Oryctolagus cuniculus: one gene and its partner. The protein of the gene in region 1 binds, or shares a complex with, the protein of each later gene. Links are inferred from orthologs where the notes say so. Each region holds a gene or a part of one and is shown in the gene's direction. Other genes may lie near its edges. The genes, in order: RASA1 and ARHGAP35.

Evidence for each region.
Region 2: the proteins of RASA1 (region 1) and ARHGAP35 are in contact, whole or in part, in a crystal structure (PDB 8DGQ), measured with the Homo sapiens proteins. The link is inferred for Oryctolagus cuniculus from reciprocal best matches to the Homo sapiens genes RASA1 and ARHGAP35. Residues at the interface, in NP_002881.1 of Homo sapiens: Arg188, Arg207, Ser209, Arg211, Val217, Asn228, His229, Phe230, Arg231, Ile241, Gly242, Tyr256, Leu262, Leu263, Lys264, Lys358, Ser379, Asp380, Asn381, Ser387, Gln397, Arg398, Phe399, Lys400, Met411, Gly412, Gly413, Arg414, His425, Tyr426; in NP_004482.4 of Homo sapiens: Ser1085, Asp1086, Tyr1087, Ala1088, Glu1089, Pro1090, Met1091, Asp1092, Ala1093, Val1094, Val1095, Arg1098, Glu1100, Asn1103, Ile1104, Tyr1105, Ser1106, Val1107, Pro1108, His1109.

The regions. Positions count from the first base shown.
Region 1 is NC_091445.1:10,199,186-10,203,042, forward strand, and holds the start of RASA1 (ras GTPase-activating protein 1), read left to right. Parts: upstream 1-864; 5' UTR 865-1,240; coding exon 1,241-1,731; intron 1,732-3,857. UniProt on the Homo sapiens protein: Inhibitory regulator of the Ras-cyclic AMP pathway. Stimulates the GTPase of normal but not oncogenic Ras p21; this stimulation may be further increased in the presence of NCK1.
Region 2 is NC_091449.1:10,575,204-10,579,076, reverse strand, and holds the start of ARHGAP35 (rho GTPase-activating protein 35), read left to right. Parts: upstream 1-1,013; 5' UTR 1,014-1,309; intron 1,310-2,190; exon of another isoform or gene 2,191-2,330; intron 2,331-3,873.

The DNA.
Region 1 (3,857 bases):
ATTACTGTTGAACACCCTGGACAAGGGGCTTGTGCAGGCGCTCCGCCCCGGGCTCCGGCACTTCTCACACCTCCTCACCGTCCACCTGGACGGGCGCCGGCACGGGGCGGCGGACACCGCGCTCCACACCACGACCGCCTGCCCGCACGGCTCCCGGCACCCGCGGCGCTTTCCCGAGTTCCGGGACTGCCGCCTTGGAGCTGACCTGCCAGTGCGGCAGTCGCCGTGCGGTCACTGCGCCCCACACCCGCGCTGCGCTGACCTTCGCCGCGCGCCCGCCCGCCCCGTCGGGCCTCCGCGCCGCCGCTTTTCGTCACCGTCAGCGAGCGCGGCAGTGGCTCCGGTGGGCTCTTCCTTCCGCTCCATGCTCTTCCAGCTCCTCTCGCCTCCCGGGGTTTCATGTCAGCCTGCCACACACACACACAGACACACACACACGCACACACACGCGCGCGCGCGCGCGGCCGGGCCAGGCCGCCGCGCCGCCTCCGCCCCTCGCGGGCCGCTTCCCGCCCCGCCCGCCCCGCGCGGCCGCGCCTGCGCAGAAGCCGCCCTCCGCCTCCGCCGCCCTTCCTCTCCCCGCCGCTCCTCCCCGGCCCCGCCCTCCTTTCTCTCTCTCTCTCTCTCTCCCTCCCGGTCTGTCTCGGGTTTCACTACCCGAGCGCTGCAGGTAGCGAGCAGCGCCGCGGTTTCCTCGCCACCCCGCCCCTCCCGCCTCCCCTGCCCACCCCTCCCCGCGCCGGGCTGGTGGAGGATGCAGCGGCTGCCGGGGCTGCGTCCCAGGCAGCGGCCCCGGCGGCGGCGGCTGCGGTGGGGGTGGCCGGAACTCGGGTGGTGAGCGAGCGGCGGCGGCTGAGGGAGCGGCGGCCGCCTCGGCCGCTTCCCCCGGGCTTCCCTTCCTCCCGAGCGCAGGAAGTTTTCCGCGTCCGTGCATGTGTGTGCGCGTGAGTGTGGGTGTGCGAGGCGAGCCCGGGGCGGCGTTTGTGCCGGCGCTGGGCTTTTTTTGCCCACTTGGCGCTCCGTAACGCAGGCGGCTCCGCGAGTCTGGGCTGTGGCCCGGGGAGGGGGCGCGGCGGCGGCGGCGGCGGCGGCGGCGGCGGGCTCTCTCCTTTTGTTGTTGTTTCCTCCGCCTGGGGAGCTGAAGGGGGGACGCGCCTGGGTGGGGCGGCTCGGAGCCCGGGCCTGCTGGCCCCCGGGGCTCCCGGGCGGGCCGCGCAGGCTGAGCGCAGCGGGCTTCAACATGATGGCCGCCGAGGCCGGCAGTGAGGAGGGCGGCCCGGTGGCTGCCGGAGCCGGAGGCGGCGGCGGCGGCGGCGGCGCGGCCGCGGGCTCCGGTGCCGCCTACCCGGTGGTGTGTCGCGTGAAGCTCCCCGCGGCCGCCGCCCCCTGCCCCGGGCTGGTGGAGGCCGGGGCGCTGGGTGGCGGGGCCGCTGTGGGGTCGGGGTTCCTGGGGGCCGGGTCCGTGGCGGGGGCCCTGGGGGGCGCGGGACTGACAGGGGGAGGCGCTGCTGGACCTAGTGGGGACATGGCCCTCCCCAAGGGGACCCCCTTGCTGCCGGCCGAGACCCTCGGGCCGGGCGGCGGCTTCCCGCCTCTGCCGCCGCCGCCGCCGCCTCTGCTGCCCCCGCTGGGTGCGGGTCTGGGCACGGTGGACGAAGGGGACTCCCTGGATGGACCAGAGTACGAGGAGGAAGAGGTGGCCATCCCGCTGACGGCGCCGCCGACTAACCAGTAAGTGGGCTGTGCGGTTGCGGGCTTGGGGGAAGACGCACCTTGTTCTCTGGCGGCTGTGATTTGTTGTGCAGAGTTGGTGGAGCTGCGGGTGTCGCGCGTAGGGATTTAACTGGAGCGCTCCTCTTCCCGACAGGCGGGCTCCCGGGGCGTCTTTGTGTGTTCATGGCTCCTCTGGGAAGATGTAGTTTTTAAGATGGGACGCATGGGAAAAGTGTGTGTCCAGTGAGAACCGGATATGGTTGTGTGCCCTGCAAATGGGTGCCCCAGGATTCGCCAAGCCTGCCCGGAGCCAAGGCAGTCGCAGTGTACATGGACTTGTGTGTGTGTGCGCCCTGATGAGTTAGTGTGTAGGGATAGCGTGGAGAGAAAACAATCCATTGACCAGAATGCTTTGCTTTTGTGGCACCGACTTCTCCAACTTCTGTCTACGAAGGCAGAGTGATGCAGCGAAGTGTTGATCCCTTAGGCGAACGTGGGTCCGGGAGAAAGAAGAGTTGTGAGAGTTAGGCGTGTGATGAAGGACTCAGGTTCTGAGCTGGTAACGTGTTTCGTAGACTGACTTGGTTGATGGACCTGTAATGCTTTTGTAGTTCAGACGCTCGAAGTACAGTCTTCATGCGAAACAGATTTTAACGGCGCTTCGCTTCAGAATTTTTGTTGGTGGCCAATACGGTCTTCTATTTGAAATTAATTTTGACATTTAGAATATGCAGGGCATGACTTTTTAAATATAACTTAAATGTTGGAACAGGAAGGGACACTAGTAGGCAAAACGTGATCTGTCACATCAGTCTTAAATGATGTTTAGGATTTCAGCAGCCTTGGTGAGCATCAGGAAAAAAACATTTGGTTGGTATGTGGATGGATGGTCACTCTGGACAAGCCAAAGGTGTTTTTTGTTTTGTTTTGTTTTGTTTTTAATACTTTGGAGGATTTAGAAAGACTTTAAAAAGTGATGAGGAGGGCTTGCAGCTGTGGTGTAACAGGTAAAGCTGCCACCTGCAGCAACAGCATTTCACATGAGCCTGGTTGGAAACCCAGGTGCTTCACTTCCAATCCAGGTCCCTGCTAATAACCTGGGAAAGCAGTGGAGAATGGCCCAAGTCCTTGGGTCCCTGCACCTACATCGGAGACCTGGAGGAGGCTCTTGGCTCCTGGCTTCTGCCTGGCCCTTGTGGCCATATGGGATATGGGGAGTGAACCATTGGATGGAAGATTCTCTAGCTCTGTGTCCCCCCCCCCCCCGCAATTCTGATTTTCAAAATGAATCTTAAGAAAAAAGTAATTAGGAAAATTAGGAAAAGATGCTGTATTACTGACACATTAATTTTTTTGTTTGATTTTATTCCAAGTTATTTCATGTGTGTGTCTTGCAGATTTCTTGGGAATGTTAAAAATTGGTTTTTTAGTGCTACTTGCACACCTTCGAGTCTTTTTTGGAAAAAATGACAGGTAAATATTATGTGCACACTTAATATTAAGTACTTATTGCTAAGGTTTTAATAAACTGTAATTTTTCATATTAAAAGAATCTAGTCTTATACCAGTTCATAACTGAATTGATTTAGGCCTATTTAGGATATTGTAGTTCAAAAAATTTTTTAATAGATTGTTATCTAGAGCAATTTTAGCTTACAGCAGAATTGAGTGGAAAGCAGAGTGTTCTTGTTAAATTTTTAATAATAAAGATGAGTGTGTACTTAGGAAAATATGGATTTGTGAGAAGTCTGTTCAGTGAGATTTTCATCATTTTTTTGTATTTAGGAGTAAGAATAAAACTTGTACGTCTGTGTATATGACAGTTGTTGATGTTCTAAAAGTACCCTCCATGTCTAAGTATGCTTTTAAAATATACTACTTAGAAGTGCAAATTTCCTTTTTTTTTTTAATCTTAGATGTCAATCTAGAGTTACTGGAGGCAATATAGTATAGTGGTTCAGTGTGCAAATTCTCAAGTTAGACAAGAGTTGAATTGGAATCATGACTCTCAAATAAATAAAATTTTTAAAGCAATTTACAAATATTTAATTGCAAGGCAGAGTTACAGAGAGAGAGAAAGAGAGACAGAATCTTCCATCTGCTGGTTCACTCCCCAAATGACCGGGGCTGGGCCAGGCTGAAGC
Region 2 (3,873 bases), on another chromosome or scaffold:
AGGTGACGGCGGCGGCCCCTCCCATCGCTGCCTCCCCTCCAGCGTCCGTAACGCCGGCTGCCTTCCAGCCATTTGCCCGGCGCTGGGCTGGCGGGCAAGGAGGCACGCCGAGCCAGGCCGGGCCGCCTTCCTCGTCCCAGGGACCCGGCCCACCTCGGGGTCAAGAGCAAGTCGGGCCGCCACGCGGGTCGCAGGCGCAGGTCCCCCGGCGCAGAGCACGCGCTCCGCAGCCCCGCCCCTTCTTCCGGGACGACGAATCGCCAGGCTCGGATTGGGCTGCGGCGGGCCACGCCTCCTCGCGCTGCCCAATCAACTCCCTCCCTGGGTGCGCTCCCTCCTCCCCGGCCCCGCCCCACCGCCCCACGTTACGTCGCCCCCTCTCTCTCTTCCTCCGTTATCCCGGGGGCCGCGGCTAGCGCGGCAAGCCCACCTCCCCGTGCCTCCCATTGGCTACCTAGGTCCCGCGCGAGCGGGATCGCGCCCTTTGCCCCCGCCTCCAGAGCCAGGCCATGCCTCTCCGCTCCAGTTTTCTCCTAGAGACCGCGCGAGGCTGCGGGGGGCGGCAGCGGCTGCTCCCGGCGCGCGCAAGGACGCGCGCTCCCACGGCGGGCCACGCCCTCCGCCTCGCGCCGGCCTCGGGCAGCCCCTTCCGCGCACGCGCACTCGCTCGCCCCGCTCCCTCAGCCCGTTCGCGGGTCTCCTCGCGCTCGGTGTCGCCGCCGCCGCCGCAGTCGCAGGAGCGGCATTTCCTCGGGGCGCAGGCGCACTGCACCGCCCGCTCCCAGTCCCAGACCGCAGCGGGCGCGCAGGCGCTCTCGCGGCTCCCGCTGCCTCGCGCCGGTTATCCGCACCGCCCCTCCCGCGGCGCGCGCCCAGGGGCCGTTATCCCCCTGCAGCGGTCCCGCGCCGCGCACGCGCAGTCCTGAGGCGGGGGGGTGCGTGTGTGTGTGTGTGTGCGCGCGCGCGGGCGCGGCGGCCGCAGGAAGGAGGCGCCGCCGCCGCCGCCATTGCGAGGGAGGAGGGAGGGAGGGAGCGAGCGAGGCTGGTCCGCCCTCCCCCTGGTTCCCGCCCCTCCCCCCTTCCCCTCCCCGCCCCCCGCCCCGAGGGAGAGCCGCGGCGCGGCGGGAGGAGGAGGTGGAGGAGGCGGAGGAGGGAGCCCGCGAGGGAGGGTCCGCCCGGCCCCCCGCCGCCGGAGCCGCCGCCGCCGCCGCAGCCGCCGCTGGACGAGGAGCAGGGGAACATGGCGCCGGGGCCGCCGTCGCCGCGGCCGGGATCCCCGAGGCCGGGGCCGCGCTGAGGGCGCAGGCTGGTGAGTGCGCGAGCTCGCGGGCCCCGGGCGGCGAGGCCGGGCGCCGCCCCGCTGCGGGGTCCAGGGGGAGGCGGGGACGGCGGGGCCCGGAGCCCGCGAACAATGGAGGAGCCGGAGGGGGAGGGGAGGGAGCGGCCCCCCAGGTCCCCGGGCCCCGCCGGCCCCGCCGCGTCGCGCTCGGGCCCGGCCCGCAGGGCCCGCCTGCCCTTCGGACTCGCCCCTGTCCGCCCGGGGCCTGCTGTCCCCGCGTCTGCTCCCATCCCCAGCCCGTCGGGACCTGGTGTCTGCCTGGCCCCCCACCCCCGTCAGCCCTCCCTGCTCGCAGTTCCGCGCCTCCCCTCCCCTCCCCTGCCCCTCGGGGATGCCCTTGGCCGCTCCTGGCCTCCGCAGTGCCCTGGGGACCCACCTCCTCCCCGGTGACCCCTTGTGCATCCCTGCGTTCCGCTCCCCGATTCTGCTGCCACCACGCTGGGGCTCTGGCCCCGGCTCCTGGGTGGACCTGTCCGGTAGTCCTGCCTCCCGGTCTCTCGCGCCCCCAGGAGCTGTCCCTTGAGGACCTGCGGGTGCTTCTTGGAGATCCAGCCAACACCCCCGTTCGCGGGGGCACGGCTGCGCCCAGGTCTTCGCCTAGGACGTCCCTGCTCCTCCCCGGGGGCCCTGCAGCCCTTCGCGTCGGGCCCTCGTCTCCATCCCGGGGATGCTGCTGGCCGGGCCTCTGGCCCCGCAGCCCCTGCGTGCGCCGTGCTGGCCTGCTGCCCCGCTCAGCTTTTGCTCCAGACCTTTCTGCCTCCCTGCTCTGCCCCTCGCCCGACCTCGGTGCCTGCTGGGCCTCCTCCCCCTTCAAGGTGCCTGCCTGCCCTCTCTAACCAGCCGGAGCTCACCCCCAGTTCCCTCGCAGGTGTCCTCGTCCGCGCCTTCTTCTCGGGGCTCCTCTGAGCTGCCCTGCCGGCCGCTCCCTCTTTTTGGGACTGTCTCCCCTCCAGCCCTGCCCGGCCCGAGCCTGCTTCCTGCCGCCGCCTCCGCCCTGCCCCCTGACTGCTCCTGGACTTGCCCGGTGCCTCTGCCCCCGCCGCGTCCGCAGCTCCCAGGCCTGCATCTTCGCTCTGCGCCCATCCCCGGCCCCGGCCCCGGCCCCGGCCCGTGCGCCTGTGGGTAGCCGTCCTGTGGCCGTGCCCTGTTGGAGGGGTCCTCTCTAGCCGGTCTTCTGACAACTGCCTCCTATCCGTTCCCTCCGCGGTCCGCCCGACCTGCTGCCCCTCTGTGCCCACTGCTGCGGCCCTGGCCTCTCTGCTGGGACACTAAGCTGTCGTCTTAGCCGTTCCTTCCTCTGGGAGCCGCCTCAGCTCTTCGCTAGGTCACTCCCTCTCCATACCCCTCTCGCGGTCTGTGCCTCCGTGTCTCCTCGCCTTTCCCCCCTTTCCCCACCGCATCCTGCCTGGCTCCTTCTCTTCCCATCCAGTTCCTGTCGGACCTGCCTCTGCCGGCTCCCCACCCATGGCTCAGCATTGCCGGAGTGCTTCCCCTTTGCAGGCCTGGCGGGCTCTGGGCCCCAGCCCTCAGCTCTGAGGCTGACCTGACCCCCCCTCCCGGGGCTCTGTCCCCAGGATCCCCAGAGAGCCGGGTGAATAGGTTCCTGCTCCCTGGAGTCTGGAAGTGTCTCCACGGCTCCCACCTCTCCCGAGGCTAGTGGAGTGTCGGGAGTGGCTCGCACTCGGGCCTGGTTTCCTCTCCCCTTCCCATCCCTGGGCTTTGCAGCTTTGTGTCCCCTGGACTGCAGCTGCTCGCAGGTCCTTATCTCTCCTGGGCTGGGGCAGGGAGACACTTGCCCCAAGGCAGTCCTGCTGGGAGATCTTAGGAGTGTGCTTTTTTGTTTTTTTCCAGCTGACAAGTCGTGTTTCTGTTTTACCCCTAGCTGGGGAAATGCCAGTTCTCAAGTTCTCCTCAGTCCCTCGGGGCTATGGCCACACTTGGTGTTTACTGCTCTGGGCCTGCAGAAGCCACGGAGCCCTGGCTTCCCGGAGCCCTGGCTTCCCTGACGGCCTCCGCTTGGCCGGCTGACCTTGGGGGAGGGGCTCGGAGGAGGTGGGTTTCTTTCTTTTTCACCCCTGCCCCAGGAAGGCTCCAGCTTGCCGGTCTTCAGCCTGGTGCAGCCTGGTGAGGGCCTGGGTTTGCAAAGCTTTGCGGTTGTTTGTTGAAAGAGAGAGTGCCAAGTGTCACAGGGATTTCTGCCCCCTGGCACTGCAGGCGCTCCCAGCCACAGGAGCCGAGAGCCTCTGGCCAGATCCACAGGCTAATCCAGGGGCGCGGTGTGCAGGGGTGTGTGGGTGGGCCATGACGTTCCCCAAGCAAACCCTTTGGGTGACCTGGTTTGATGGCGTGGAGAGGGGTGCCGGGAGCTGGCTGATGGGGTGGATTTAGACTTCTTACCTGGGAACTGTGCCTTGTTACCTTTCATTGAGCTGTTCTCTTCAGTGGTCTGCTGGGGCTGGGGCTTAGGAAATCGATTGGGAGGTAGAGATGGTTTTGTAGAAAAGTCATCCAACCCTTTTTCTTCCTTAACTTGG